Linked DNA regions of Pelodiscus sinensis. The protein of the gene in region 1 purifies or fractionates together with the protein of each later gene. This does not show direct contact. Links are inferred from orthologs where the notes say so. Each region holds a gene or a part of one and is shown in the gene's direction. Other genes may lie near its edges.

Region 1 (7,863 bases):
CCCTGCTTTCCCGACAGGAACTAACTCACTCTCCTCCAGCCCCGCCCCCCAGCCAGGGCCGCATCCACCTTCCTTTGTTCCTCTCCATGGGGGTCAGCTGGCCAAACCAGTTGGGATACCCTCTTTGCATAGTGACTCATCGCTTGCCTGCTCAGTGGTGCTATAGACAGCAGCCAGAGAGTTAGCAGGTTACCCCCCACTACGTCACACCGAGCTCTTCCCGCGTCTGGACGTTCGCCCTGGCCAGCCAGGCCTCGCCGTGCCTCTTGCCCTCGTAGGCGAAGTGAAGCTTGTTCACGTCCGGGCTCCGCCGGAGGGCCCGGAAGCAGCAGCGGGCGTGAGCCGCAGCCTGGCCGCCGCTTTGAAACGCTCGTAGCCGTTCCCGTGTCCCTCTGGCAGCTCAGTGGCGAATTGTGCGGAGACTCCGCTGGGCTGCGGCCGCAGCTCCACCAGGTCCTGGCCTTTGGGGACGCCGTACCCAAGGCAGCTCCTTTCGAAATCCACCAAGATCTCCAGGTCGTCTCTGGCCCGATTCGCGGGGTATCTCCTGGGCCAGGGAGCCGGGGGCTGAGTGGGGGCAGCTGGCGCCGCCGGATTCTCCGCCTGCTCCAGCTCCCAGCGCCTCAGCTTTTCCTTCTCTGCCTCAAGCTTTAAGCGCGCCACCTGCAGGAAGAACTTCATCTCCTTCGGCAGAGCCCCCTGGGTGTCTGCGGCACGGCCGGGACTGGGCCATCACCCTCTGCTCCTGCCCCCGGGGACCTTCTCCTGTTCCTCAGTCCTGCTCTGGGCATCCGGGGCTGCTCCGCCCTTGGTGCGCCGCTTTGGGGGGTTAGTTGCTCGAGGGCTGCTCTGCCCCCCGGAAACACACGTGCTGGGCGCTTGCCTGCCCCACGCCGGCCGAGCTGTCCAGTTGCAACCTGTAAAAAACCCAAGCGAAGTGGTTTGGTTTGGATGCGCTGGCTTTGCCGGCTGAGCCTTTAGCGCGTCTTCTCCCGCCTCAGGCAGCAAAAGGGAAAACCCCCAAACAGCGGGGGGGGGGGTCCCGAGGTCTGTGACCTGCTTGAAAATCCCACCAGCATGCCAAGGCTGCCCTCCACGCTGCCACTGTGTGTGGAGAAGGGGGGGGCCTGCAAAGGACCTTAACGTTTTCTGCTGAAAAACCTCCCTGAAGTCACAGATTCCCGGGGCCTGTTGCTGCCACCCCCCAAATGCAAAAGCCCCTTTGAGAACCCAGGAAGATACACTTGGAAATTTCTTCCTGTGGGGCTCATTGAGCTCTTGGAGCCTGAAACCCCCTATAATTGTCCTTAATGCGGGGGGGGGGGGAACCTTTTCTAGGTCAGTGACCCACAGAAAAATCAGTCAGGCCCAGGCTTGTAGATTTTGTGCGCTCCAGCCCCACAGGGGGGAACGGGGCAAGGGGGCCGCCCCGAGCCTCCAGGGCTGGATCCGGGCAAGCCTTAGGCCCCCCCCACCCCATAGCTGACCTTTCAGTCACAGATCCGCCGGCCTTCTAGGGCGCAGGAATCAGCCCCCGGCGTTAAAACGGGGATTTCAGGATCAAATGAAAGACGCTCCTTGGTCGCGGGGCGTTAGAGCAGCCAGAACCAAACCAGAGTCACGCCCCCGACTTGCTTCCCTGGGACTTGGCTTGGAGAGTTCGAGCAGAGCGGGGGTCCAGGGAGTGGACCCAGAGAGACCCAGCAGAGCCCACCATAAAAACAACCTGATGGCGTCCGACTGGCTCGTCCCTGCTCTACTCGCTGCCTGGTGCTTAGAGACTCAGCCCTTCCCTAGACCCGGATGTCTCTGGATCCGGCTCCCTGGCTTGGCCCCTGGCCCAGCTCTGCTTACACAGACTGGACCAGGTCGCTGCTTCCCATTCAAAAACCTGCGCTCTGCTCCCATTGGTTGGCCGGCTTCCTGCTTCCCGGTGTCCCAGAGCCTCTCTAGGCCCCGCTCTCTGTGGTTTGAACCCTCCAGGCAATTCCATGAACAGGAGGGCCGAAAGGGCCCCTCCCGGCCAACACCTTCTGCCCCACGTCAGGCCTCCCTCTGCCCTGGCAGTGTTCAAACCTTCCGGGAAAAGCCAGACACAGGTGCTGAGCTCTGGGGTTCCTGCCCTCCGGCCTTGCTCCTGCAACAAGGGAGTTTTTCCTGTTCCCACGGGGGTGGGGGGGCAGCGGGTCCTTGGGCATCCCAGCGGCTGGGGGTGAGGCACGGTCCCAGGCATTAGCAGGCGCTCTGGGGTGCCGACAGCAGGGGGCCGCAGCTGGAACCCCCGTACTCCAGAGGCTCCAGGCCAGAGGGGCGCAGCTGCTGCAGCCACCTGGCGGCTGGGACAGGTGCTCACGGGGTTGCCCCTGGGGATTAGCAGAGGTGCCCTGGGGGGCTCCCAGGTGATTTCTAGCACAGAGACCTTCTCAGCGGCAAGTGTGAAAATCCAAGTCACGTGCCTTCTGCGTCACCCAGCCAGAAAGCATCGCATGGAACCCTGGCTCCCGGCGACCCCCTCCCCTCCCAGAGCTGGGCGAGAACCCAGGAGTCCTGCGTCCCAGCAAAGCACCAGGCCCGGCGAGTGGGACCCAGCTGAGAGGCGCTGGAAGGGGGGACTAGGGAGGGGAGATTGGGAGAGCTACATTCGCGCACTTGGAGCCAGGCGGCAGCTGGGGGTGGGGCACAAACCACTCAGAGCTGAGAGTTAGAGGGATCCACTTGGGGGGGCTGAAGGGGGGAGCCTGGGGGCAAGCTCAGGGAGACACAGAAGAGCAGAGCCAAGGCAGGGCCTGGAGCTGAGTGCCCTGCCAGTGATTCCCTGGCTCCTGAGCTACACCCCCCCATGCGGGAAACGGCCGCCCAGGGCAGCACTTGGCGCAGGAACCAGGGCTGAGCCCTGTGTGAACACCAAATGTGTCTCCACCTCCGATCCATGATTGTGGGGCCTGACGCCGGGGTGCAAAGACGCCCAGGCAGGAGCCTGGGAAACACCTGGTACGAGTGTTGTACTTAAAAGAAGCACTCGGGATCTTTTTCAGAGGGACAAGGCAACACGCCACATTTACTGATCACACATAGAATAATCAACACTTATCATATGGACATGATACATATATGTCACTCACACACACACACACACACACACACACACACACTCTCCGTCTTGCTGTTGTTACCAACGAGTTGCTCCCCTTAACTTCACTGGCCAGGTGAGTTAGATGGGGGAGGGGTGGAGCCGGGCTTCTGCTGATCCGGATCGATGCTCCGATGGTGACTAGACGAAACCCGGGGTCCTCTGCAAGACACCTCACTTTTATAGCAGCTTCCCTCTTATGCAAATAGATCCCAGATTCAAACTCTGGGTCTGTGTCCCTTGGTCCCTTTGTGGGTGTTGTCTGTTCAGAGAGGGTGTTTTCCAAAGAGGGTGCTTGCTTCTAATCCCCAAGGCGGTGGATATGTCTGCTTGGGTCTGGCTTCCACCCCCTCTTCAACTGGGGTAGCTCTCTGGAGGGGCTGGGCTCCCAAGTCTTACTCATTCACACCTCGTTCATTCAACAGGGCAACTGATTGGGGGGGGGGGGAGTAGGGGGAAAATCTTATTCTACTCCTAGCAAATGACATTTTTACCACTTTAACTGTAGATTCAGTTTTCTACGTCGGGTTCTAATACAAAGTGACACGGTTCTATGGAGAGGCACATGCCAAGTCACATGCCGCAATATACAATACACAGATTTATCTACACGAGTGCCACCTCTGCACCTGTCCCCGAGGGGGGCGCTGTCTCCACTGCAGCCCTGTTGTGATGCAGCCACTTCTGGGGTGGGTGAGGAGACGGTTTTACAGGGATTCCTCGCCCCAGTTGAGATGCAGCTGCCATGGGCCGTGGTGGAAGGGCCCAGATGGCGGAGGGTCGCTCTCAGAACACGCAGCCCCAGGAGCCTCTCTATGGCAGCTCAGTGGAGCAAGCTGGTGCCCACTGGGCCACAAAAGGGGCTGAGACCCTGCAAACTCATTGCACTTGGGCCTCCACACAGAGGCACAGGCCAGTCGCTGCTCCCCAGGGAGTCCTAGGAGCGCCTGGAGGCAGGGCACCTTCCCTGTCCGGTACAAAGTCCCGGAGCCTCTCCGGGCTGGGCAGGCGGAGGGCAAAGGGCAGCAGCCCCCCCTTGTTCTTTCATAGCACCCAGGGCTCCGTGGGCCCTGCCCCAGAGAGCTCAGGCAGCGAGGGGCCCCCAGAACTGAAAGGGACGGGGCAGGCTGAGAGAGGGGCCCCCCCAGAACTGAAAGGGACGGGGCAGGCTGAGAGAGGGGCCCCCCCAGAACTGAAAGGGACGGGGCAGGCTGAGAGAGGGGCCCCCCCAGAACTGAAAGGGACGGGGCAGGCTGAGAGAGGGCCCCCCCTTACTCCAGAGAGGGCCCCCCCAGAACTGAAAGGGACGGGGCAGGCTGAGAGAGGGGCCCCCCCAGAACTGAAAGGGACGGGGCAGGCTGAGAGAGGGGCCCCCCTTACCCCAGAGAGGGCCCCCCCTTACTCCAGAGAGGGCCCCCCCAGAACTGAAAGGGACGGGGCAGGCTGAGAGAGGGCCCCCCCCTTACCTTTGCTCCCCCTGCCCCAGCCTGCTTCCGTCCCAGCCACCCCGCCCCCCTTCTGTGCCTCCCCCAGGCTCTGCCCCTAATCTCCCCCAGTCATCCCGCGCCCCCCATTCATCCTCTGCAGCGCCCCCCCGCGCCCTAATTCTGCCCCCAGGCCGGAGCGGATGCGCCGCTTCCCCGCCGCGTTCTCGAACCCGAACGCTGGGGCCGCCGCGTTCCATCCGGCCGGGGACTGGGGGGGGGGGCGGGTGGAAACCAGGGGACTCTTATTCTGACAGCGGCCGCGCTCTGCTTAGTCATGGTGACTCCCCCCCCGCGCCGCTCCCTCCCCCCAGCCCTGCCTGCGCCATGGAGGAGCCGAGCCGGGCCCAGCCGGGACGAGCGGGCGAACCAGGAGGGCCGGGGCCATGTCTGGGTTAGTGACCCCCCCGGAGAGAGGGGATCCCCGCCCCCCCCCGGGCTTGTGGGGAACCCGCCCCCGGGCTCCGGGGACCTGCTGCACAAGCCCCCCCCCCAGGTGCTCTCACTAGCTGGGCCCTCCCGGAACTGTCAGGGACCCCCCGAAGTGGGGGGTAGGGCCCTGGAGTGGATGAATTGTGGGGGCGCCATTGAGTTGGAAGCGGGAGGAAGGAAAACGGGGGGGGGGGGTTGCGGCCGAGCCCCCCCCCCCCGGCCCATGTGGCGCTTTGTCTGGGTCGCTTTAGTCAGCTGTTTGGGGGCTGGGGTGTATGGGGCGGGGGCGGGGGTTGTGCATGTGTAGCTCTCACGGGGGGTCACTGCCCTAGATCGGGGACCAGTACTCCCCCCCCCCCCCGGCCTTTCTGCTTATCGCTCCACCGGCCTGCCACGAGCCTGGATTGGGGGGTTATTCCTGGATTGGGGTCACCCCCCCCGCACACACGCGTCCGAGGAAGTCCCTGCGTGTGACAGCTGGGGGCGGGGGTGTCGCCGATTCGCTGGCTCTAGCGTCTTGGGGGGGAGCAGGCGGGACCCAGGCTTAGGGGCTGCTGGAACTGAGCTCCCCCTCGTAGGGACCTTGTTTAGAGCCCCCCATGCCCAGCTCCCTTGTCAGGCAGGCGGCGGGGGGGGCAGCGGGCTCTGGTCAATGTTTTCCATTTCTGGCTGCATCCCTGAAATTGCAACACGTCCCCGGATGGGCCACCCACTGGCCTCCTTCACCCCAGCCCCCCCCCCCCTTGGTGGCTGCAGGATGGATAGCTCCCTGGTGAGGGCTGTCCTGGCATCAGGGAGGGGGTGCTCTAGCAGGGCGGGGATACAGAGTCATGTTGTTCCTCGCCCTCCCCAACTTGTAACTTTAGGCAAGCTCCTTCCCCTGGCTGTGCCTCAGTTTCCCCATCTATGCAATGGCATCATGGTACTGTGGTAATTAGGGGGGTGAGGGAGGTGCCCGCTGCCCTCTGCTGAATAGCATCAGAACAGCTCAGCTGTGTCATAGGCCCTGCACTGATAACACCTATGGGGAGTTCCTAGAGAGGGAGCATGAGCCCTGCTGAGCAGGCGGGCGGGGCAGGGTGCTCCCCTGGTCTGTGAGCTGCATGGGGCCCAGGACGCGGAGGCTGGGTGGCAGGACGAGTTCAGGCAGCCGGCAGGGCAGAGCTGGGCTGGGCCAGGGATTTTCTGGATCTGTCCCTGGCCTCCGGGCTCAGGAGCTGCGCTCACAGCAGACGCTGCATGAGCCCAGGTGCCCGCGTGGTGTGGGCACTGGGCTGGGACTCAGGACACCCGGGGTTCCCTCCCTGGTTCCGACACCTGGGGCCGCCAGACTGCGGCCTCTTTGGGGCAGAGACTGGGCGTGCCTGGCCCGGCGGGTGCCCCCCAGCTGTGACCCAGGCCCTATGGCCCTAGGACATGTCTGTTTCTAGGGCAGGGGTCTCCAGCTTTTAAAGCACGAGATCACTTTTAGAATTGAAGTGTAATCCAGGATCCACCTCAAACCCAAACTCCCTGACCCCGCCCCTTTCCCAAGGCCCCGCCCTGCTCCCTCCCCCGTCCTCACTCACTTTTATCAGGCTGGGGGCAGGGATTTGGGGGGCAGGGGTTCAGAGCTGGCTCCAGCTGGGCACTGGGGGGTGGTGCAGGGGGCCAAGGCAGGCTCTCCCCTCCCCTGGCCCTGCACCACTCCCAAAAGCAGCCAGCAAACTCCCTCCAACCCTGCCCCCCTCTGCTCTGTGGAGCTGGGGTACAGGGTGGGGGGAGGGACAGCCTGACATCAGCACCCCCTCCTCTTCCCGTGCCCTGCGCAGTGAGCAGGAGGCTCCCAGGGGTGGGGGCAGCTCCAAGGCAGAGGGCAGGAGCAGCACGGCCGTGCTGGGTGCCGGCACTTGACAGCCTCCCTACCAAACCTCTCAGGATCCAGCGGGGGCCACCTGGGGGATTGTTGGGGGCCGGGGGCCTGCTGGGGGAACGGGGCTGCATGGGGGAGATGCTGGGGGCAGAACAGGGGGCCGCCTGGGGGGCTTGTTGGGGGCTGGGGGGACTGCTGGGGGAACGGGGCTGCATGGGGGGACGCTGGGGACTTGTGGGGGGCTGGCAGGGTTGGGGGGGCTGCACGGAGGGTAGCCGGGGGTGAGCTCTGACCCTGAGGACCCTTTCCCCAACCCCGCTGATTTGAGGCTCAGTCCCCGTGTCCTTGGCTGTGCCTGGCCTCCGCGCTCCAGTCCTTGGCCTACCTCCGAGCGGGGCCCTCGTTAGCAGTGATTCTGCCTCGTTAACGCTGGAGCCAGCCCCCAGGAATGGAGCCGGGGCTGGGGGGGTGGCCCCCCCGGCCTGGCCCGCTGGGGGCTGCGGCAGCCCAGTGGGGAGAGACCCCCGCGCTCCCAGCCGGGCCCCCTCCTAAGCCCGTCTCCCCCGCAGGTGTGGCTTTGCTGCGGTGCCCCCGGGCTCAGTAAGGTGCCCCCCGGCGGCCTAGCCCCTCCCCCCGCGGCGATGTACGCGCCGGAGTGCAAGGCGGAGGTGACGCCGTCGCCTCACGGGCAGGGCACCTTCAGCTACACCCTGGAGGAGCACACCAAGCAGGCCTTCGGCATCATGAACCAGCTGCGGCTCAGCCAGCAGCTCTGCGACGTCACCCTGCGGGTGCGCTACCAGGACGCCCCCCCGGCCGACTTCCAGGCCCACAAGGTGGTGCTGGCCTCCTCCAGCCCCGTCTTCAAGGCCATGTTCACCACGGGGCTGCGGGAGCAGGCCATGGAGGTGGTGCCCATCGAGGGCATCCACCCCAGGGTGATGGAGCGGCTCATCGAGTTCGCC
Region 2 (7,745 bases), on another chromosome or scaffold:
GGGGGCGATGGAGGGGGAAGTGGAGGTCGGAGGCGGGGGGGCGATGGAGGGGGAAGTGGAGGTCTGAGGCGGGGGGGGGGATGGAGGGGGAAGTGGAGGTCGGAGGCGGGGGGGGCGATGGAGGGGGAAGTGGAGGTCTGAGGCGGGGGGGCTATGGAGGGGGAAGTGGAGGTCTGAGGCGGGGGGGATGGAGGGGGAAGTGGAGGCCTGAGGCGGGGGGGATGGAGGGGGAAGTGGAGGCCTGAGGTGGGGGGGGCTATGGAGGGGGAAGTGGAGGCCTGAGGCGGGGGGGGCTATGGAGGGGGAAGTGGAGGCCTGAGGCGGGGGGGGGGGCTATGGAGGGGGAAGTGGAGGCCTGAGGCGGGGGGGCGATGGAGGGGGAAGTGGAGGTCTGAGGCGGGGGGGGATGGAGGGGGAAGTGGAGGTCTGAGGCGGGGGGGGCGATGGAGGGGGAAGTGGAGGTCTGAGGCGGGGGGATGGAGGGGGAAGTGGAGGTCTGAGGCGGGGGGGCTATGGAGGGGGAAGTGGAGGTCTGAGGCGGGGGGGGATGGAGGGGGAAGTGGAGGTCTGAGGCGGGGGGGGATGGAGGGGGAAGTGGAGGTCTGAGGCGGGGGGGATGGAGGGGGAAGTGGAGGTCTGAGGCGGGGGGGCTATGGAGGGGGAAGTGGAGGTCTGAGGCGGGGGGGGATGGAGGGGGAAGTGGAGGTCTGAGGCGGGGGGGATGGAGGGGGAAGTGGAGGTCTGAGGCGGGGGGGCTATGGAGGGGGAAGTGGAGGTCTGAGGCGGGGGGATGGAGGGGGAAGTGGAGGTCTGAGGCGGGGGGGCTATGGAGGGGGAAGTGGAGGTCTGAGGCGGGGGGATGGAGGGGGAAGTGGAGGTCTGAGGCGGGGGGGCAATGGAGGGGGAAGTGGAGGTCTGAGGCGGGGGGATGGAGGGGGAAGTGGAGGTCTGAGGCGGGGGGGCTATGGAGGGGGAAGTGGAGGTCTGAGGCGGGGGGGCTATGGAGGGGGAAGTGGAGGCCTGAGGCGGTGGGGGCGATGGAGGGGGAAGTGGAGGTCTGAGGCGGGGGGGCTATGGAGGGGGAAGTGGAGGTCTGAGGCGGGGGGGCGATGGAGGGGGAAGTGGAGGCGGGTGGGGCTATGGAGGGGAAAGTGGAGGTCTGAGGCGGGGGGGGCGATGGAGGGGGAAGTGGAGGTGTGAGGCGGGGGGCTATGGAGGGGAAAGTGGAGGTCTGAGGCGGGGGGGCTATGGAGGGGGAAGTGGAGGTGTGAGGCGGGGGGGCTATGGAGGGGGAAGTGGAGGTGTGAGGCGGGGGGGCTATGGAGGGGGAAGTGGAGGTGTGAGGCGGGGGGGCTATGGAGGGGGAAGTGGAGGTCTGAGGCGGGGGGGCTATGGAGGGGGAAGTGGAGGTCTGAGGCGGGGGGGATGGAGGGGGAAGTGGAGGTCTGAGGCGGGGGGGATGGAGGGGAAAGTGGAGGTCTGAGGCGGGGGGGCTATGGAGGGGGAAGTGGAGGTCTGAGGCGGGGGGGCGATGGAGGGGGAAGTGGAGGTCGGAGGCGGGGGGGCGATGGAGGGGGAAGTGGAGGTCGGAGGCGGGGGGGATGGAGGGGGAAGTGGAGGTCTGAGGCGCGGGGGGATGGAGGGGGAAGTGGAGGTCTGAGGCGGGGGGGCTATGGAGGGGGAAGTGGAGGTCTGAGGCGGGGGGGCTATGGAGGGGGAAGTGGAGGTCTGAGGCAGGGGGGCTATGGAGGGGGAAGTGGAGGTCTGAGGCGGAGGGGCTATGGAGGGGGAAGTGGAGGTCTGAGGCGGGGGGGCTATGGAGGGGGAAGTGGAGGTCTGAGGCGGGGGGGCGATGGAGGGGGAAGTGGAGGTCTGAGGCGGGGAGGGGGATGGAGGGGGAAGTGGAGGCCTGAGGCGGGGGGGCGATGGAGGGGGAAGTGGAGGCGGGGGGGCTATGGAGGGGGAAGTGGAGGTCTGAGGCGGGGGGGCTATGGAGGGGGAAGTGGAGGTCTGAGGCGGGGGGGGCTATGGAGGGGGAAGTGGAGGCCTGAGGCGGGGGGGCGATGGAGGGGGAAGTGAAGGTCTGAGGCGGGGGGGCGATGGAGGGGGAAGTGGAGGTCTGAGGCGGGGGGGGCTATGGAGGGGGAAGTGGAGGTCTGAGGCGGGGGGGCGATGGAGGGGGAAGTGGAGGTCTGAGGCGGGGGGGCTATGGAGGGGGAAGTGGAGGTCTGAGGCGGGGGGGATGGAGGGGGAAGTGGAGGTCTGAGGCGGGGGGGCTATGGAGGGGGAAGTGGAGGTCTGAGGCGGGGGGGGCTATGGAGGGAGAAGTGGAGGCCTGAGGCGGGGAGGGGGATGGAGGGGAAAGTGGAGGTGTGAGGCGGGGGGGCTATGGAGGGGGAAGTGGAGGTCTGAGGCGGGGGGGCGATGGAGGGGGAAGTGGAGGCCTGAGGCGGGGAGGGGGATGGAGGGGAAAGTGGAGGTGTGAGGCGGGGGGGCTATGGAGGGGGAAGTGGAGGTCTGAGGCGGGGGGGCGATGGAGGGGGAAGTGGAGGTCTGAGGCGGGGGGGCTATGGAGGGGGAAGTGGAGGTCTGAGGCGGGGGGGCGATGGAGGGGGAAGTGGAGGCCTGAGGCGGGGGGGCGATGGAGGGGGAAGTGGAGGCCTGAGGCGGGGAGGGGGATGGAGGGGAAAGTGGAGGTGTGAGGCGGGGGGGCTATGGAGGGGGAAGTGGAGGCCTGAGGCGGGGAGGGGGATGGAGGGGAAAGTGGAGGTGTGAGGCGGGGGGGCTATGGAGGGGGAAGTGGAGGCCTGAGGCGGGGGGATGGAGGGGGAAGTGGAGGCCTGAGGCGGGGGGGCTATGGAGGGGGAAGTGGAGGTCTGAGGCGGGGGGGCTATGGAGGGGGAAGTGGAGGTCTGAGGCGGGGGGGATGGAGGGGGAAGTGGAGGTCTGAGGCGGGGGGGATGGAGGGGGAAGTGGAGGTCTGAGGCGGGGGGGCTATGGAGGGGGAAGTGGAGGTCTGAGGCGGGGGGGCTATGGAGGGGGAAGTGGAGGCCTGAGGCAGGGAGGGGGATGGAGGGGAAAGTGGAGGTGTGAGGCGGGGGGGCTATGGAGGGGGAAGTGGAGGCCTGAGGCGGGGGGGCTATGGAGGGGGAAATGGAGGTCTGAGGCGGGGGGGGATGGAGGGGGAAGTGGAGGTCTGAGGCGGCCGGGGGGGGATGTAGGGGGAAGTGGAGGTCTGAGGCGGGGGGGGGCGATGGAGGGGGAAGTGGAGGTCTGAGGCGGGGGCGATGGAGGGGGAAGTGGAGGTCTGAGGCGGGGGCGATGGAGGGGGAAGTGGAGGTCTGAGGCGGGGGGGGCGATGGAGGGGGAAGTGGAGGCGGGGGGGCTATGGAGGGGGAAGTGGAGGTCTGAGGCGGGGGGGCGATGGAGGGGGAAGTGGAGGCGGGGGGGCTATGGAGGGGGAAGTGGAGGTCTGAGGCGGGGGGGGCGATGGAGGGGGAAGTGGAGGTCTGAGGCGGGGGCGATGGAGGGGGAAGTGGAGGTCTGAGGCGGGGGCGATGGAGGGGGAAGTGGAGGTCTGAGGCGGGGGGGGCGATGGAGGGGGAAGTGGAGGCGGGGGGGCTATGGAGGGGGAAGTGGAGGCCTGAGGCGGGGGGGCGATGGAGGGGGAAGTGGAGGTCTGAGGCGGGGGCGATGGAGGGGGAAGTGGAGGTCTGAGGCGGGGGCGATGGAGGGGGAAGTGGAGGTCTGAGGCGGGGGGGGCTATGGAGGGGGAAGTGGAGGCGGGGGGGATGGAGGGGGAAGTGGAGGTCTGAGGCGGGGGGGCTATGGAGGGGGAAGTGGAGGCGGGGGGGATGGAGGGGGAAGTGGAGGTCTGAGGCGGGGGGGGCTATGGAGGGGGAAGTGGAGGTCTGAGGCGGGGGGGATGGAGGGGGAAGTGGAGGTCTGAGGCGGGGGGGCTATGGAGGGGGAAGTGGAGGTCTGAGGCGGGGGGGGGATGGAGGGGGAAGTGGAGGTCTGAGGCGGGGGGGCTATGGAGGGGGAAGTGGAGGTCTGAGGCGGGGGGGGCGATGGAGGGGGAAGTGGAGGTCTGAGGTGGGGGGGCGATGGAGGGGGAAGTGGAGGTCTGAGGCCGGGGGGGGATGGAGGGGGAAGTGGAGGTCTGAGGCGGGGGGGACGATGGAGGGGGAAGTGGAGGTCTGAGGCGGGGGAGGGGGATGGAGGGGGAAGTGGAGGTCTGAGGCGGGGGGGGCGATGGAGGGGGAAGTGGAGGTCTGAGGCGGGGGGGCTATGGAGGGGGAAGTGGAGGTCTGAGGCGGGGGGGCTATGGAGGGGGAAGTGGAGGTCTGAGGCGGGGGGGGCGATGGAGGGGGAAGTGGAGGTCTGAGGCGGGGGGGATGGAGGGGGAAGTGGAGGTCTGAGGCGGGGGGGCTATGGAGGGGGATGTGGAGGTCTGAGGCGGGGGGGCGATGGAGGGGGAAGTGGAGGTCTGAGGCGGGGGGGCGATGGAGGGGGAAGTGGAGGTCTGAGGCGGGGGGGGGGATGGAGGGGGAAGTGGAGGTCGGAGGCGGGGGGGCGATGGAGGGGGAAGTGGAGGTCTGAGGCGGGGGGGCCGAGGCTGGGGTCTCGCGGGGGAGGGCAAGCCGGGGGGCGGGGCGGGGACGAATAGGGGCGGGAACACTGCACCGGACGGGTGTCGGCCGAAAGCGCCCTGCACCTCCCCTTTAAGGGCTGGGTGGTGACGTCACCGCCGTTCGCTGGCCGCAGGCAGTTGCTGCCGGAGCCTGGGCGCCAGACGGCGGCTGAGGCGCTGAGCGGGCGGCCCGGGCACCTGCCCCAGGAGCCCCTGGTCCGAGCGGCCCCGCAGCCATGCCGTCCGACCGGCCCTTCAAGCAGCGCCGCAGCTTCGGTGAGTGCGGGGCCCGGCGGGAGGGGGCAGCGCGACCCCCCCCCCCCCATGGGGCGCTGAGCGGGACCCGCCCGCCGCGCTCCGGGGCTCTGAGGGAGGCTGCCCCTGCTCAGGCCCGCGGGGCGCCCCGTGGCGGCCAGTGGCTCGCGGGGGCTGGGCGGGGCGAGCCCCTCGCTTTGTTGGGGTTGGAGCTGAGTGGGCGGGGGGAGCCGGAGGGAATTGGCAGCCCCGCCCCGCGGTGATGTCACCCCTGCATCAAGCGAAAGGAAATGCTGGTTTGCCCCAGGAGCCTGCAGAACCCATCGGCGGGAATTAGCGGTCTTAACAGTCAGTGGGGAGCACTGCTCCTGCGGCTTTGGGATGGCACGTGACTCTTGCTACATGTCCAGTCATGTGTGTGTTTTTCTCAGCCACCTCCTCCCCCTCCCAGAGAGAGGTTGATTAAGCAAACATGGCAGGATTCTAGCCTGTCTATTTCTGATGCCCTCCAAAAGCTTCCCTTTCAATCCCAGCAGGCAGTCCGTCAAGGTGTAAGACAAGCTTTTCAAATCATGGAGAGTCTTTGGTATCTATGGTTGTGACAATTTTCTTCCACTATTTGATCTGAGGAAGTGGGTCTGGCCCACGAAAGCTCATCATCTAATAAACCATCTTGTTAGTCTTTAAAGTGCTACATAGCCCTGTCTTTTGTTTCAGCTACACCAGACTAACACGGCTACATTTCTATGGCTACATTTCTATCTCGTCTGTTGTCACTGACGTGATTGGTGAAATGTGTGAGAAGCAGTATGTTCTTTTGCTCACCATGTAATATAGGAAAGAAATCTGTGCTATAAATGAACCTGCTGTAAATACAGTCTATTGATAGTAATGGAAGGCATGCTTGGTTTTATGTCTGAGGTTAATTTAACTTCATGTAATTTAGTTTCGTATTGTTAGAAATAAGTGATAGTTTTGATCTTGTATGACCTTTTTAGGCAAATATTAATAAGATAGGCTTATATTGTATCCTGTTTTCTCCTCTAGGGGATAAATGACTAATGCAGAGCAGTAATTTTTCTTAAGTATTTTGCTTTGGGGGAAGAGAGTTAATTGCTTTATGTAAAGTTTTCATAAGCCTCCATTTATGACCGTGTATGTCCCAATGCTGATGGATAATTGGAATCCAGGAATTTTGATGATGGGCACTTAAGAATGTAGGTAATAAATACACATTGAGGCTTGGAAAACTTTAGTTTCAAGATGGGTCTGAATTGTAATTTTCAGATCCATCTTTTGCTAAGCTTATGGGAGTTGTTCTGGCTTGAATCCCATTGCTAATACATAAACAAGCTTTGGGGAGCTAGACTTACAAACATTTTGTGCAGAAATGTGTTCGGTGCAATTATGATAGTTCTGTGTATCTGCAAAAACAAATGACCTCTGTGTTTGCAGTTACACCCATGCACCTTCCTTGTGTGTGAATATGGTGGTAGTAATCGTATGTGCAGATTAATCGTACAGATTATTGTATACATTTTTAAGTATATGCTGCTCTAAATAACTGGCACAAAAGGGGAAAGGTGGTGGTGGGGGGGGGGGTTCTTACTCTGTTTAGTGTATTCCTATATATTTGAACTTAGGTCTTTGTCCTTCTGAAAACCTTACCATGTTTGTCCCTAATTGGGGACCGGTGAGTGAGTGGCTTACCATGAGCAAGAGGCCTACCTTAAATTGTTCTAGTGGATAAGGCACCTGATTGGGACCCAGGAGATTTGCATGTACCACCAAATTGTTGTGATTTCAGTGCCTCAGTTTCCCAGTTGGCAAAATAGGACTAATTTGCTTATTCCTCTTTATAAAGCATTTTGAAATTGATCAGCCACTTTTCAGCCATACAATACATTAAGCCTTTATTACCTGAGTATGTGTGCCATCCTTTCAACCCTAGTGAGATGAATAATTCCTTTCCTTTTAAAGATCCTTCTGGTATCAAAGTATTCCTTGTTCAAAATACTGTTCTTCCTAAAAATATTTTTGAAGTTCAGAAGATATAATGCTTCAAACACAAGTGTATTTCATAACCATTCACAGAAGGTGCTATGATAGTGCAGATATTTTATAGGAGGAAGAAAATTAAAAATATAGTGATAGGCAGACTCTGAAAGAAGGCTGGATCAGTGCAGAAGTCAAGAGAACAATAAACTACCATAAACATGCTTCAGAGTGGTATCCGAGTTAGTCTGTACAGGATAAACTTAAAAAACAAATAGCATGGTAACACTTTAAAGACTAACAAAACATGTATATAGATGATATCGTGAGTTTTCATGGGCACAGCCTACTTCTTCAGATAACCATAAACATGTAAGATTTGACTGGAATGTTAGTAACGCGTATTGGTGGAAGCTGATGAAACTAGGGATGTTACATTGGATTAATTGGCTAATTGATTAATCGATAAGGGTGCCTCTGCCTTTGAAGTGTAGCAACAGACACTTTAAAGGCAAAAGCGCTGCAGGGAGCATGGAGCCAGCGGGGGAACTCCAGCAGTCCCCCATTGGCCCTGTGCTCCTCACAGCATTTTAAAGTGGCAGTGCCTCATGGAGCCCAGGGTCAGCAGGATAGACCTGGGTCTGGCCCCGGGCTCCACTAGGTGCTGCTGCTTTGAAGCACCCCCTAGTCTTCTTTCTCTTTCTGATAGAGGCAGCAAGGTGTGGGGGGAAGCGACTAGTTAGTTTCATCTAGGGTTGTGAACATCTGAAGCTTCTTTTTCCTAATCCTTTTTCCATAGACAGTAATTTGTCATGCTGTAAGTACTAGAAGTTTTCCACCCCAAGTCCAGTATCAACTGTTT
Region 3 (7,587 bases), on another chromosome or scaffold:
GCCACAGTGGCAGGCGCGAGGCTGTGGACTGCTGCTACCGCCAGAAGGGGGTGGAGACCAGTGTGGTGGGTGCTGCCGGACAGCAGTGTCCTGAAGAGGATGCTGTGGTCTTGGAAGTGGTGTGGATCAAGGAGAGAGTGGAGCAGCCATGGCCAGAAGGGGGCGCCCTGCTGAGGACAGAGCTAATTCCCAGTCGGACCAGTGGTTGGAAAAGGACATTTTTTATTCCAAATTGAAACGTTTTTATTTGGAAAAACTTAAGGAGGAAGGAAGAAAAATGGGAGAGAAAAGGGGGGGAAATGAAAATCCACATTTTTAATAAAAATGGATTAAAAAAATCCTATCGGAAAAACAACTAATTTTCAATAAACTTCATTAATTTCACACATGCTGCAATGAGTGGGGGTAAAACAGAAGGAAATGGAGAAGAAGGGGACCTAGAATTAGGAAGATCCAAAGAGCTTGATATACGCTTGGTTTGGCATTTGTGCATCTTGACTGATCACTGACCGACGGAACCCTTTCTCACCTACGAAAAGCTTAACAAAAATGTGCTGACCTTTGTGATCCTGACATGAATTGTGATTGCCCAATATACAGTCGTAAGCAAATTCTTAGGCCTTTGGGACGAGGTTTTCGTAAGAATTCAGGGCCAGATTTCCAAGGACTGAGTACTAGACGAGAGCTGGTTGAAAATGTTCAGACGGAATGTTTTTCCATCAGAAAACGCTGTTTTTTCAACAGCCCACGAGAACATGCTTGTTTTCTGTTTTTTTTCCAAATCAGCATTTTGACCAGGATGAAATTTTTGGCTTGGCCACTTTTTTGGAGAGGAGAGTTCTGCTTTTAGTGGTTTTGTTTTTTGGGATGACGCTTCATTTTTTGCAAATTATTTTATATGATAGAACATTGTAAATGTGAACAATAAAACAGAATGTTTTGATTTTATTTGTGTATGTAGAACCCATTTCTTTGGCACAAAATGAAGGGTGTTTTGGAAGTTTTGTTAGTGGAAATGTCTAAATCCGTTGTTTTTATTCAGATTCAGCACAAAGAAATGTTGCAGTCACAGGATTTCCCCTTGCCCCTCCCCAAATAGAAATTCTGGCTTCCCCGCAGCTCTGCTAAGCACCCACCACAGTCAGAGCCAGGCTGACAAAAGGGCTCAGCTGGAAATTCTGTCCTTTGCAACCTTCTGTCAGGAGGAGCAGGGCTGGTGATGGCAGGGGGCATTTGAACAATGCCAGAGCTGCTTCACTCCCCTGTGATCCTGAGTCATCAGCAGCATGCCAGTGGCAGCTGGGTCACTGACCAGCCGCTGCAGAGAGAGAGGATGCTTGATTTGGAAACATGACCTGGAAAACGCAGCCTCATCAGACCAGGCAGCAGGCCAGGGTGGGTGGGTGTCTAACAACCATTGCTAAGGAAGGGCCAGAAAGACGAGACTAAGAGGGTGAGGCTGTGTTGCTCTCTAGCGGTGAGACCACCTAGAGAGCTTAATAAATCTGCTAGTGGGCGTGGGCTGGACGGTGGTGGAGTCTGCAGTCCCACGCCTGTGTGGCAGGGCCAACTCCCCCCACGGAGCCGCGCTTGAGGGAGAACGAGGCTCCGTCTCCAAGGCCATTGGGCCATGGGCTTCTGCAGCACTCAACACTGAAGACTAAGTCAGTGGCGAGTGTGAGGCTGGATTGTGAGGTCCCTTGGCCACTCACCCCTTTCTGGTAGGCCAGCTCCCAGATGGCCCCAGCGGCGGGGCATCCCTGGACGGGTGGTGGCGGGTGGAGTCTTTTGCATCTGTAAGCCACGCCCACTGGTGCAGGCGCCCTCTAGTGGTGGCTGGCAGAGCCATCGCCCAGCTCGGCCTGCAGAGCTGTCGTTTCGCTCAAGGCTTGGAGACTCACACAGCAGCGGCGCTAACAGGGGAAGGGGGCTGCTCCCCACAGCGACCTTCAGCACGTGAGGTGCCTTTTCACACGGGGCCAGAGAGCGAGCCCCCAGCAACGGCAGTTCCTGTCCCTCAGGGCTGGGCCTGCCTCCTCACTCCATCCAGGGGCACACCTGAGTAGCACTGTGTGACCCCATGCACCGGACCCACTGGGCGTGAGTGTGGGGTGGGCAGCTGGGCTACTTCTCCAGCCCTGCAGGTCCCCTCTCTGCGCACTGCTGGGCCAGGATAGCGGCTGCCACAAGTGGCCAGAACCCGCTCATCCATTTCCCCTCTCCCACTGAGAGCCAGAGGTTTGGTGGCCGGTGGCTGTGACCCCCATGTGTCACACCTCTAGCCCCAGTTCTCTGGAGGGATGGTAAATATGCAGCAGGGGGAACAGCCCCCCCCCCTTCGGTTCTCAGCTACCTTATTTCACACAGGGGCAATGGCTCCTAAAGGCGGGCGGGGGCAGGGTATCGGGTCCAGACTGAATCCCCATGTAGGAAGTGCCCAGCCGTATGTCATGGAGCCGACTGCTCTGCTGCAGATTTCCCAGACCAAACCAGCAGGTTTCCCAGAAGCAGCCGACCGGCCGGCTCTGCCTCCTTGCAGGGCTTCGCCCTCCCCGCCCAGGGTGGCGTGTTTTAGCACAGGCCGGGCAGGTCTGCAGCCCTGCATTGCACAATGCGCGCGCACACTCTCCGCACTGTGTGTTTTGGGCGGGTGCTGTTTACCCGGGCCCCGGCTGCGAGAACACTTGGGTTTGGGCAGCCCTGTTCCCAGCGCAGAGAGGTGGTGACCCCAGGCACCATCCCCACTGGATATGAATGTGGGGCAGGCAGCCGGGCTCGTTCTCCAGCTCCCTCCAGCCCTGCCAGGGTGTTCGCAGACGCCTGAGGAATTTTGCCGAGCTCGGTGTGCCAAGAAAAGCGGTGTCAGAGGGGATAAACAGGACGTTTTGTACACAGAGCAGTCACGCTGGGCCAGAAACACTCCCCTTGCCTCCGGAGGCAAGCAGTACCCCCAGGAAAAATTCAGGCCTCACAGCTTTGTCCTTGAGCCCGACTCACTCCCATATAAACTCAGACTCACTGGCCGGATCCTAACACCCACCAATTTCAGCAGGACGTAGGGACCCAAATACCTGTGAGAGGCCGAGCCCTTGAACCCAGCCCAGGGAGGCAAAGGTCTGTGCGTGACATCCTGCAGTCTGGAGCAGGCCCTCAACTAGCTAGAGCAGCCGCAAGGTTGCTCTGCCTTCTGGCTGGTGAGAAGCAAGAGCTCCCTGCAGGCCCTTCCAGCAGCCAAGGCCAAGCTCCTTGGCCACACTCCCACCACCTCCACTCCTGGGCAGGGCCCCTGCGTCTCTCTGCGCCAAGGGCTCCCCGGAGGGATGGTCACATGGCCATTGTGTCAGGTCTGTCCTCCTGCAAGAGGGGGACACTGCACGGGGCCAGGCCTGAGCCCAGTACGGCCCCAGAACTGCAGCCTGGGGTGAAATCTGGCTTCTCCTGGGGACCCAGCTCCCTTAAGAGCACATCAGCGCACCCTCAGCAAAGGGCCCTGGACAGAAATCGAAGCCCTGCCCCCATTACAGAAGCCCAGTGCGGAGCCCACTGCAGTGGGACAGCCCAGTGCAGTGTGTCTGCATGGGAGGGTTTGCACTGGTGCGACACCGATTTCCCCAGGCCGGGCCAACCCTCGGGCCCCTAGGCTGCCTCTGGGTCGGAGTGGAGATGCAGGAGTTGGGACAGGGGCAGTGAATGGCTCTGTGGGTGGAGAGCCCATTCCTGGGCACTGCCCAAGTCAGCGGAGAGGGGTATTTGGTTTAAGTCCTGCATTTGCTGTACTAAGCCGGAAAGGGGCCAAGCAGCAGAGGCTCAGACAGGCTAGACCGTGGGGAAAAGCAGGGAAGGAGGAGGGTTTGTAGCAAAGCAAACCCACACCCTGCTGCGATGTCCAATGTTACCCATGGTGGCTGTGTCTAGACTGGCCAGTTTTTCCAGAAAATCAGCCGCTTTTCCGGAAAAAACTTGACAGCTGTCTACACTGGCCGCTTGAATTTCCGCAAAGGCACTGACTTCCTACTGTAAGAAATCAGTGCTTTTTGCAGAAATACTATGCTGCTCCCGTTCGGGCAAAAGTCCCTTTTGCGCAAAAGGGCCAGTGTAGACAGCTGAGATTTCTTTTCTGCAAAAAAGCCCCGATCGCGAAAATGGTGATCGGGGCTTTATTGCGGAAAAGCGCGTCTAGATTGGCCACGGATGCTTTTCCACAAAAAGTGCTTTTGCGGAAAAGCGTCTGTGCCAATCTAGATGCTCTGTTCCAAAAATGCTTTTAACGGAAAACTTTTCCGTTAAAAGCATTTCCGGAAAATCATGCCAGTGTAGACGTAGCCTTGGTGAGTACCAGATGCACCTTGGCGCGAGGAAAGAGTCCAGGCTGTGGTTTATGGCTGGGCACAGTTGGGGGAGGGGGGAATTATACAAGCCTGGGTAAATGTTGCAATCCCAGGTGAGGCAATGTCAGAAATCAAGCCAAGTGCCAAGCAGGAGCCGGAAGATCCCTTGAGCAGCTGGAGGGGCAGGGAGGCCCCTGGGTGCAAGAGAAAAGCCCTGTTTAGTTGCAGGGAGGAATCAGCTTCCCCGACAAAGGCCTCCCCGGGGGCTGCAGGTTCCTAGCGGTCCCACGTGGGCGGGGGGCCAGGTGGGCTAGTGGTTAGCAAAGGCCTGGGCAGTCATTCGATAAGGGGGAGGCTTTCCCGTGACACTCCCAAACCCTCGCCGGAGAAGGCCTCTGAGAAGCGGCCCGGGACGGTGTTTTACAAGCCCCCACCCGCGCGGGAAGCAGGAACTCGCGGTCCGGCAAGGACCCCGCGCCCAGGCCCCGGAGCTGCGCGCAGGGTGTGGCCCGGGGCGGGGGGAGGACGTAGGCAGGAGTGTCTCGGCTGCAGCCCGCCCAGGGCTTCCCTCGGCTGGGAGGAGCGAGGCTGGTTCCCTGCCCATGGAGCGGCGGTAGCCGAGCGCAGCGGACTGGTGGCCCGGCCCGGAGACCCCCGTGGGACTCGCAAGCCGCCTGGGGGTGCGCGCCCCCCGCTGCGCTTCCCTCCCCGTGAGCATCGCGCCCCGGCCGCCATGGGCGCTGTCATCTCCACGCACCTGGACGAGAGCAGGCGCCTCTACATCTCAGGTAAGGGGCCGGGGCCGGGCCGTTCCCAGCCGGCTGGAGGGGGCCCCCTTCCCGGCGCTGGCTGCGCTGTGGAAGGCGGCGTGCGTGGGAAGGAGCTGGCCGTGGCTGGAGGAAACTTTCTCCGTTGTTTTTGCTTCCCCCCCCCCCAAGTAGCAGGATGTTTGTTTGGGGCCGTTCCCAAGCGTGTGTCGGTGAGCGGGGGGCAGGAGGAATCCCTCCTCCCCCCAAGCAGCACCCCGGTGTAGCCCCCTCTCCGCCTGGGGTTCCTTCCCCTCCCTGCTAGGGGCGCCTGTTTTAACGCCTTAAAACTTTTTTTGAAAAGTTCCACGTTGCAGCTCCGGGGCTCTCCTCCGCAGAGCTGGAAGCAGCCTGGCTCGGAAGGGGGAGCGGGGCAAAGAAGTGTCTGCCTCCCCTCTGAAAGGCTTGACTTGTGCGGTGGCTGTTTGCGTTGGCTGCAGGAAGAAGGGATTTGCTTCAGGCGAACAGCCCTGGTGTGGCCAGGGCTTCTGTGGGCAGGGGGAAGGAAGGGGAACAGCTCTCTGGGAGGCTGATGTGGAGAAGTGTTGTTCCCTCCACCAGCCCTTAAGCCATGTTCGCCATTGGTTGAAGGGGAGACCTCTTGGGTCCCAATCCTGTGGGTTTTCCCCATGTGCAGAATGAATTTTGTTATGTGCACTGAGGCACGTGTGGATGTGTACCACCATTAGAAACATATGTTGCTCTGGAGGCTGTTTGAGCTCTGCTAATCAGCTAGGTGGCATTTGAATCTCTGAGGGGGAGAGCTTACATGAAACACTGCTGGGCACAGAGGGCTGCCGGTGTGGCTAGGATTGCAGATCTGGCCTCTGGACCTAGGCCAGCAATGGGTTTGCCTCTTGTGCAGACCAGGCTGCAGCTGCCCTGTATTGCGTCTTGGCTTTTGTTGACAAAGATCAAGCATAGTTATTGGCTTTAATATCTGTTGTGTCTCCTTTCTGATAACTTTGGTAGTGAATGGATTTTTGAGTAGGGAGCTGGGCAAAGTGCTACCGCCCGCTGAACTCCTATTCCTGAAATGTCGGGCCTTGGAGTCTAGAGAAGTGACAATGCAGCTATTGATTGCCCTGCGTTTACTCTTGATGTTGTAGGTCTCTCAGTCTGATGTGTCTGACTTAAAGATTCCTCTTGGACTTGGGCATCAGGGTTTCTGGTTAGCCCGGCTTGGAGTGGCCTGTCTAAGCACGGGATTGTGGCTTCTGTACAGTTGCTTTTTTGTCCGTGGAGATGGCATCTGACTGCGCAGAGGCTGGGGGACTAATTGGTGCCTGCAGTTACTTGATTGACCTTTGTAAGTGGGGTCAGCCTGCCACTGAGCAGTGTGACTTGGCCTCTGTGTCGCCCTCTTTTCTTGGGACGCCTCATAATTTATGAGGTCGACATTGGAGCCCCCAAAGGCCTCTGAGTTGCAGGACTTGACCTCTGTCCCTGCCTTTCGTAGGCTTCAATTACAGTGACAACAGAGGCTTCTTGGAGGCGCTGTGAGCCGTAATAGTTAAGTGCTTAAACTGGACCCCCGGACTTCACAAATCAAGTTGCACTTGGAGACGCGGCTACGATGGCACAGGACCTAACCAGCTTCTCCCATCGGAGAACCAAAATACCTTGGAAACTCCAAACCGAGTCAGAGGTGACTAGGCCACCTCACTCCCTGGAGGAAAACTATGGCCTGCCTTCCCCCTCCCCCCCCATTTCTAATGGAGTGGTCACTTCATCCAAAGCTACAGTTAAAATGCCAGAGGAACAGTGCGTTGCAGCTGTGTTACTATCAGAGGCTCACAACGTGACTAATGGTGTTGCGTTGCTGAATACCAGAGAAATTATGACTTGTCACTTACTGTAAAGTATTGTCAAGCTTCCTATTCATCTCTGTGAATCATGAAGTTTTATGTGGGCCAAACACTATTTAAAGGGAGACTATAACAAATGGGGCTTTAGCTTGTTAAAAGCAAGGAGTGAGGGAAGTTGATTTTATTAGCCTGGTCTCTTTGTAGGAAAGCAGATGATCTGGCTTCCCTTTACCTCTTCCCCCCCCCCTTTTTTTTAAATGGACACTGTTAAAATGTGCTCCAATTTCAAGTGTGTGTTTCAGCTCCTAAATCAGGGCAGGGAACTTTTTTGGGGGGCAGGGACCATGGACCCACAGAAAAATCAATTGGGTTCCACATGCAAATGAGAAATCCCCTGCCCAAAAAACCCTCACTGACGTGGCTCCTGAGTGGGGAGAAAAATGCTCCCCACATTCCCCTGGCACACCAGAGCCTGGGGGGGGCCCAGTCTAGTAGATTTTGGTTGGGTGGTGGGTGGGGCTGGAGCGCCAGCACGGGCTCCCCAATGCTGGGGGGAGCCCTGAACCTTGGGGGCTGGATTCAGGCAAGTGGGGGGGCCACAGCCAGCCCCCGGGCCTGAGGGTCTCCACCCCAAATCTACTGCTG
Region 4 (7,948 bases), on another chromosome or scaffold:
CATCTCAGCCCCCACATCCTCCCACCCAACCCCCTTCCCTGTCCCCCACATGCCCCAGCCCCTGCCCAGCCCCCTACATCTCCCACCCAGCTCCCTTCTCTGCCTCCCACATCCCCCAGCCCTCTACATCCCCCACCCAGACCCCTCCCCTGCCCCCCACATTCTCCAGCCCCCTACCCAGCCCCCTACATCTCCCACCCAGCTCACTTCCCTGCCCCACACATCCCCCAACCCCTGCCTAGCCCCGCACGCTCCGGTACCTGCCCGGCTCGGCTCCCGCGGCTCCGCTCGCCCCATCCCGCTGCCGCTGACGCAGCGTCCAACCCGCGGCGCCTCCCTCCGCCCCCCCGCAGCCGGGGATGGAGAAACGTGGGGGGGGGAGGCCGGGGAGAGAGACGGCGGTGCCCCTCACTGTCCCCACAGTCCCCCACCAGTGCCCCTCACTCCCTCCGCACCCCCGTGCCCTTCACTCCCCCCACGCCCCACCCACCAGTGCCGCTCACTCCCCCCGCAGCCCCTTACCAGTGCCCCTCACTCCCCCCCGCACCGCCCCGTGCCCCCACTCTCCCCGCACCCCACCCTCCAGTGCCCCTTACTCCCTCCGCACCCCCACACCAGTACCCCTCATTCCCCCTGCAGCTCCTCATCAGTGCCCCTCACTCCCCCCCGCACCCCACCCATCAGTGCCCCTCACTCCCCCTGCAGCCCCTCACCAGTGCCCCCATTCCCCCCACCCCGCCCCGCCCCGTGCCCCTCACACCAGTCCCTCTCACTCCCCCCCGGCAGCCCCTCACCAGTGCCCCTCATTCCCCCCCGCACCGCCCCGCGCCCCTCACTCCCCCCGCACCCCACACTCCAGTGCCCCTCACTCCCCCCACACGCTCGTGCCCTTCACTCCCCCCGCACTCCACACACCACTGCCTCTCACTCCCCCTGCAGCCCCTCACCAGTGCCCCTCACTCCTCTCGCACCCCACACACCAGTGCCCCTCACTCCCCCCCGCATCCTCCCCAGTGCCACTCACTCCCCCTGCAGCTCCCCCACCAGTGCCTCTCACTCCCCCCCAAAACCCTCTCACCAATGCCCTTCACTCCCCCCAACTGCAGCCCTCATACCAGTATCCCTCACTCCCCCTTGCAATCTCCAATTGATGCCCTCCACATCCCCGTACCAGTATCCCATCACTCCCTCCACAGCACGCCCCACCAGTGCCCTTTACTCCCACACCCACAGCACCTCCATTGGTGCCCCTCACTCCCCCCACAGCTCCTCCACTGGTGCCCTTCACTCCTGACTCACAGATCCCCCACCCCCAGTGCTCTTCCCGACTTGCACCCTCCCCACCCAGCTGCTGCCCTTCACTGCCACCCCACAATAGGCGGAGAACTGTATTTGATCATCCCAGGAATCCCCAGAGCCTGCGAACTGGCCTGCGAGGGGGGCATCATGTGTCCCTGTTTCCTGGACCATGAACCCTATTTTTCCAGAGTCAAAGACCAAGCAGGGCAGGAGACCACACCCTGTGTTGCTGTAACAGCTCTTACAGCACCCACCACCAAATACTGAGATACAGCCACCTCTGGGCATGGGGAGTGGCCAGTTTCACCAGGACCCTTCACCTGGAGCTGAGATACAGCCACCTCTGAAGGTCTGTGTTTGGTCACAGAGGGTATGTCTACACTACATGGCTCCGTTGATGGAGCCATGTAGTGTAGATATACCCAGAGGGACAACTCGCCTAGGCTGAGATGTGGCCACAGATGGGGCAGGACAGCTGGTTACACAGGGAACCCTCACCCAGGGCTGAGATGCAGCCACCTCTGGGGCACAAGGGGACCCCTCGCCTGGAGCTGGAATGTGGCCCTCTCTGGAGTGGGTGGTTGGTCACATAGGGACCCCTCCCCCAGCACTGAGATGCAGTTACTTGTGGGGCGGGAGGGATGGTTACACAGGGACACCTGGCCTGGCACTTATACATGGCCACCTGTGGGGTGGGGCATCTGGTTACAAGAGAACCTCCCGGTTGGAGCTGAGATGTGGCATCTTAGTGCTGGGAAGTCGTTTACACAGGAATATCTTGTCAGGCACTGAGGTTCCGTCTAGGCGACGTGGGTTTTCCGTGATATCCTGGAAAAACTCTGCTGCATCCAGGGAATGTGTCTGCTCTTCCGCTTTTTTTTTTTCAGAAGAGCACATACACTCTTTCAGAAGCCCTGTCTTCCTCATTCTATGGGCTCTTCCAAAATAGGTTTTTCTGAAATTTGGCCCACTGTGGATGGGCCAAATTTTGGAAAAGCCTCTTCCAACAAAACTATCAGAAAAAGGTATGCAAATTGCAGAGTGCAATTTGCATACCCTTTTCTAATAAAACATTGTAGTCTAAAAGTAGCCTGAGATGTGGGGGTGGCTGGTTATCTGGGGCTGAGATGTGGCCACCTGTGGGATGGAACTGTCATAAGAATGGTCAGACTGGGTCAGACCAAAGGTCCATCTAGCCCAGGATCATATCTTCCAATAGTGGCCAGTGGCAGGTGCCCCAGAGGGAATGAATAGAACAGGGAATCATCAAGTGATTCAGCCCTTGTTGCCCATTCCCAGCTTCTGGCAAATAGAGGCTAGGGACACTGGCTAATAAGTATGCTCCATGATTTTATCTGACTCTTTTCTGATCCCTGTTAAAGTCCTGAGCTTCACAACATCCAGTGGCAAGGAGTTCCACAGATTGACTATGTGTTGTGTGAAGAAATACTTCCTTTTGTTTGTTTTAAACCTGCTACCTATTAATTTCATTTGGTGACCCCTCATTCAGTCTCATGTTGTGAGAACAAGTAGATAACTTTTCCTTATTCACTTTCTTCACACCAGTGGATTTTATAAATCTCTATCATATCCCACCTTAGTCTCCTCTTTTCTGTCAGTTACACAGTAACCTCTCATTTAGCACTGAGATGCAGTCACCTCATGAGTGGGGTGGCCGGTTACACAGGAACAACTCTCCCAGCACTGAGATGTTGCCACTTCTGGGGCAGAGGAGGGGGTTACACATGGCCACTTTGCTTGGGACTGAGATGTGGCTACCTCTGGAGTGGGGCAGCCTGTTACACAGGGACACCTCCATGGTGGTGAGAGGCAGCCACTTCTAGGGCATAACAGATGGTTACCAGGGGGCCAACTCTTGTGTGGGGTGGCCTATTACACAGGAACTCCTCGCCCAGCGCTAAGATGCAGCCACCTCTGGGGTGGGGTGGCTGATTTCACAAGGACCTCTTGCCTGGTGTTGGGATGCAGCCACCTCTGGGGTGGGATGGCCAGTTGCATAAGGTCCCCTTACCTGAGTAAGTTTCTGTCTCCTAGAATCTAGGTGGGCTTGGCATGGCCAGTGGCATGGAGGGGAGGTGCTTTCCCCTCATTCACCAGCAGGAGGAAGCAGCATCTTTCAAGCTTGTGACAATTTCCTGCTGGTGTATGTGTGTAAAAACAAGGCAGAGTCCTGTGGTACCTTAAGTACTAACAGATTTATGTGGGCATCAGCTTTCATGGGTAGAGCCCACTTCATGAGGTGCATAGAATGGAAAAATAGAGGCAGGGATATATACAGATGAACTAGCACATCAAAAGAAGGGAGTTTGGGTACTCTACACAACCTGCTTATTTTGGAATAACTGTACAGTGTAGACTCATCCTTCGTTATCAAGTGTAAGACCAGTGTTAAAGAGGCCAGTTCAGTCTGGGTTGATGTGCTCAGTCCCAGCAGCTGATGGGGAAGCTGTGAATATGGAGGGAGAAAATTGCCTTTGTAGTAGGAGAACCATTCTAAGTCCTTATTCACTTCTAATTTGATCCTTACATTTGCAAATGAATTTTGCAGCTGTGCTGTTTCTCTTTGTAGTCTGCTTCTGCAGTTTTTTTGGTAGAAGGATGCTACTTTTAAATCTGTTACTGAGCATCCAGGGAGATTAACATATTCTAAGGGTTTTTGTATGTTACCTTGCTTTGTGATCCATTTGAGTCCATTTAACCTTTGGCACATTTGTGTAGATGTATGGACAGAGTTGGCAACAGGGTTTGTTGCAGGGATAAGTTCTTGTGTTAAGGGGCCAGGCAAAATGCAGGAGGGAAGGGGTTAGCAGGGCAGTGGCAGGGAAGGGGTTAACGGGGCCAGGGCTGTTATCGAGGGGAAGGGAACCACCAGGCCCTGCACCCCCATCCACAGCCAGATGTGACTCAGATGGCAGGTAGAAGAGAAGATTTATTAGGTGACAGGGACACAGCACAGAACAGACTTGTCAGCACAGGAACCAGAAGCAGCCAGCACCATCCATCTGGGGAGAGGAGGCTCAGAGCCAAGGGCTCCCATTCCCTTCCTAGCACCCCAAGCCAGCGAGACTCGCTCACACCCTCAGCAGCCTGTATCAGCCCTGTAGTCTGACGCGCCTCCAGCTTTTGGTCGGCTTCTTCGGACAAAGGGCGTGACCTGGTCACACCCCCGTCCCAGGCTCAGGTTGCAGAAAGTATCAGCTATTGTGTTCGTGGGGGAGGCTGTCACCGAAATTCCCATCGTCTAGATATTGGTGTAGTGCCCAGAGAAACTGAGGCACACGAGGGCTTAGTACAGCACAGTAGAAATCACGTGCAACAAAGCAATCGGGTGACTACAATCTCCACTTTGTTACAGGGGTTGTGGCAGTGAAGGGGCTAATGGGGCGGGGGGGCTGCAGCAGGGAAGGGGTAACGGGGTGGGGGTTGCGGCAGGGAGAGTGTTAAAGGGGCGGGGAGAGGGGGCAGGCCGAGGCGGTGCTGGGGGCGGGGAGATGCAGCGGGACGCTTGCCGCGGGGCGGGCAGGCCGGGGCGCTGCAGCACTGAAGGGAAGAGAAAGGAAAGGAAGGGGCGGGGCGGGAATGGGGCGCTGCAGCAGGAAGGGGTTAACGGGGCGGGGGGGGGGAGCAGTCAGCTGGTCGGGGCGGGGGCCGGACTTCCTGGAGCGGGGACTTGTCAACAGGCGGCGGCGCTGGCCGGAGTTGGGGCGGGGGGTGCTCCCCGGGCACAGAAGAGAGAATCCAGACCCCCTGCCGGAAAAGTGCGCCCTCCACCCCCGGGCACCTTGCAGCCCCCCCTGCCCCCAGCACGCGCCCAACTTAAGGGAACTTTCCAGTGCTGCCCCCAGCACGGTGGGGGCCTAGGGGCGGGGATGCCAGCAGCCCCCCCCCAAACCGCCCCCCTTCCTGGGAGTGTGCTCCTCATGACCTGTAACCTGCCCCAGGACCCTTGACCTCCAGGCGAGCTAGCACCCCAGGGGCTGCCCTGCCTGCCCCTGGTGGTGCCCCCTTTGCCCAGCTGCCCGCAGGCATGTCACCGCCCCGAGAGCCTGGTGCTGGCCCGGTGCTGCCTAGGCCCCGCTGAGCTGGCGCGGGAGCAGGACCATGAGCAGAAAGAAGAGCAGTTTCCAGATCACCAGCATCACCACTGAGTACGAACAGCAGGAGGCGCCACCCGCCATGGAGCTGCCAGAGGATGCAACCGTGCCCAGAAACGGGCCCTCGGTGCCACCCGGCAGCACCGCTGCCTCCCGCTTCCGGGTGGTGAAGCTGGACCAGGGCCTTGGGGAGCCATATAAACGGGGACGCTGGACCTGCCTGGATTTCTACGACCGGGACCCGGAGCACCAGGTGGTGGGGCGGCTCCTGGCCGCTGCCCGGCACCCGCAGTCTCTTGACTCCCGCCTGGAGCTTGCTGGGTTGGCCCCCAAGCCCCATGGCTACTTCAGCCCCCCGCTGGCGCGTTGGGGCGGACATGGCCACTCCCAGGGCACAGCCTGGCCCACGCTGCCTGGCGAGCACCTGCCCCGCTCGCTGGGAGGTGGGGAGAGAACTCCAGGGGGCAGAGCTCAGAGTGATGGGGCCAGTGCTGAGCCTGGGGAATCGGGCGTGGGGGTGGAAGAGCTGCTGCTGCCCCAGAGCCTCGCCCAGCGCATCCGGAGGGAGGTGGAGGAGAGGCACAAGGTAAAGGGGGCCAGATGCCTGGGTTTCATGGGACCACGGAGACCCACGTGGTAGAAAGCCACCCCACAGGCCCATCTAACCTTGTATCTGGCCCTTTGCATCAGCCTGTGGGCTAGTCCAGTCTTGACTCTACCTGCCCCTCGCCGATCAGATCCCCAGTGGAAATCCTGCAGTAGGTAGTCCTGTGGGTTAATTCTGAACCATATTAGGAGCCATGTCTCCCCTGCACCAGATAGGTGGGGTCTCCACTAGGATACCCTCCCCAGAGGGTAGGGGGATTGACAAGCATTTGGTGAGGAGGTGGAGGGTTGTTGGTGCGCATGGGGTAGTAAACGGGTGGTGGCTGGAGAGGGAGGAGATAGCAGTGGTGGGACAGCTCCTTGCACACCTGGCTCCATCTCTTCCCTTTGGACCTGCAATCACCCTGATTCCAATGACCTCCTACCACTTGGGGCTGCATCAGCCTGCAGAACTCCCCACCACTGGATGCTGGCTGGGCTGACAGTTCGGCTGGGGGTAATGGAAGTTAATGGGGTAAGGTTTGAGGGCCACCTTCTCCTGTGCTGTGATATAGTGAGGTGCATTGCAGAAATTTCCTCTGAAAGCATCTGGCATTGGAGGTGGGTTCAGGCCGACTGGGCCATGGGTCTGATGGAGGAACCCCTAGCCAGTTCAGCCCCACAAAGTAGAGGCAGACCCACAGATATCTCATGAATCTAACCTTTTGTCCCAGAGAGACATTCCTTCAGCAGGATGTATGGTCCAGGGAAGGGGGGTCAGGTTCTGGGCCCTGACACCTCCCCGGCTGCCTCCTCCTTTCTCATCACCATGACGGAAAAGGGGTGATTTTCATCTGCCCACTGCCCCCCAGGCTCTGGTGGGCAGGGAAAGAATGGAAGGAACCCAGGCATTCAGGCCCCATTGCAGCTGCCCAATGCTGTCCTTGGGATGCGGAGCCATTGGCAGCATCCACTGAAGCATGTGGGGGCAAGGGAGGATGCCTGGGTCCCTTCTGCTCCACCTTGTTCATTGGCCTCTCTCCATTATGATGTCTCCTCTACAGGTTCCACTGCGAAGCTCCCGCCCCTCCTCCCCAGCCCTCCCCTTGTTTCGGGAAGGGAGCCCTGTTCGAAAAGCGTCGGACCCTTTTGGTGCACGTCTCAGCCTGGCCCGATCTATGTTTGCCATGGGGGGACACCAGGACAGCGATGATGACAGGTGAGGTGGGACTTCCTGCCCAGTGTGCCTGGTGGAGGGTGGGACTTCCTGTTTTGCCAGTGAATGGTCGGGGGAGGGGGAGTGCTGGGACGATTGGTGAAGGGGCTGCCATGTGGTGGAGCAGTATGCGGGGACTGAATGGGACAGAGGGAGATGCAAGCAGTAGAAGAGGAAGGAAGCTGGGGGAGGGGAAGTTGCATTTGAATGGCTGGCAGCGGATGTGACTCAGTTGTATTGCCTGCACTGGGGAAGTTGGGGGCAGGATCCTGGCAGTGGGAGAGGGGATGGTGTGGGGCCCACAGGCCTGGGGGGAGGAACAGGGAGGGATCCTGGCAATGGGCCAGGCTGGCGGCAGGCCTGTGTGTGTGTGTGCTTGTGTAAATCATAGAAATACTCCAATAGCAAACCATTGCCACGTTCCTTCTAGTAGACTCTACAATAACAAACTACAGGTTGAACCTCTCTAGTCCTGCACTTTTGGGACCTGACTGGTGCCGAACCAGAGAATTTTCCAAACAATAGGAGGTCAATATTATCTAGCAGCATCACCAACACTTCCCCTGCTTACTGGGCTCTTAGAAGATATTTAGAGGCAAATTAGAACTAAATAACAGCACCGAACACAGAGAGCCAGGACTGGTGGCTGTAAATAAACTGTATGGGACTGTGGGAAACTTGGCCACACGCATAAGAGGACATCTGACTAACTAAAATCATGCCTGATTAGAGA

What was found.
Region 2: the proteins of KEAP1 (region 1) and MAP1LC3A purify together in Homo sapiens (affinity purification with mass spectrometry; 3 studies listed by BioGRID and IntAct, with this or other methods). This does not show direct contact. The link is inferred for Pelodiscus sinensis from reciprocal best matches to the Homo sapiens genes KEAP1 and MAP1LC3A.
Region 3: the proteins of KEAP1 (region 1) and NIBAN2 purify together in Homo sapiens (affinity purification with mass spectrometry; 3 studies listed by BioGRID and IntAct, with this or other methods). This does not show direct contact. The link is inferred for Pelodiscus sinensis from reciprocal best matches to the Homo sapiens genes KEAP1 and NIBAN2.
Region 4: the proteins of KEAP1 (region 1) and TSC22D4 purify together in Homo sapiens (affinity purification with mass spectrometry; 4 studies listed by BioGRID and IntAct, counting the BioPlex papers as one, with this or other methods). This does not show direct contact. The link is inferred for Pelodiscus sinensis from reciprocal best matches to the Homo sapiens genes KEAP1 and TSC22D4.

What each region holds. Positions count from the first base shown.
Region 1 is NW_027465991.1:323,324-331,186, reverse strand, and holds the start of KEAP1 (kelch-like ECH-associated protein 1), read left to right. Parts: upstream 1-4,852; 5' UTR 4,853-4,891; coding exon 4,892-5,008; intron 5,009-7,467; coding exon 7,468-7,863. UniProt on the Homo sapiens protein: Substrate-specific adapter of a BCR (BTB-CUL3-RBX1) E3 ubiquitin ligase complex that regulates the response to oxidative stress by targeting NFE2L2/NRF2 for ubiquitination.
Region 2 is NC_134728.1:35,700,644-35,708,388, forward strand, and holds the start of MAP1LC3A (microtubule-associated protein 1 light chain 3 alpha), read left to right. Parts: upstream 1-4,733; 5' UTR 4,734-4,869; coding exon 4,870-4,909; intron 4,910-7,745. UniProt on the Homo sapiens protein: Ubiquitin-like modifier involved in formation of autophagosomal vacuoles (autophagosomes). While LC3s are involved in elongation of the phagophore membrane, the GABARAP/GATE-16 subfamily is essential for a later stage in autophagosome maturation.
Region 3 is NC_134732.1:4,580,183-4,587,769, reverse strand, and holds the start of NIBAN2 (protein Niban 2), read left to right. Parts: upstream 1-4,575; 5' UTR 4,576-5,061; coding exon 5,062-5,116; intron 5,117-7,587. UniProt on the Homo sapiens protein: May play a role in apoptosis suppression. May promote melanoma cell invasion in vitro.
Region 4 is NC_134734.1:8,743,746-8,751,693, forward strand, and holds the start of TSC22D4 (TSC22 domain family protein 4), read left to right. Parts: upstream 1-4,936; 5' UTR 4,937-5,421; coding exon 5,422-6,000; intron 6,001-7,063; coding exon 7,064-7,218; intron 7,219-7,948.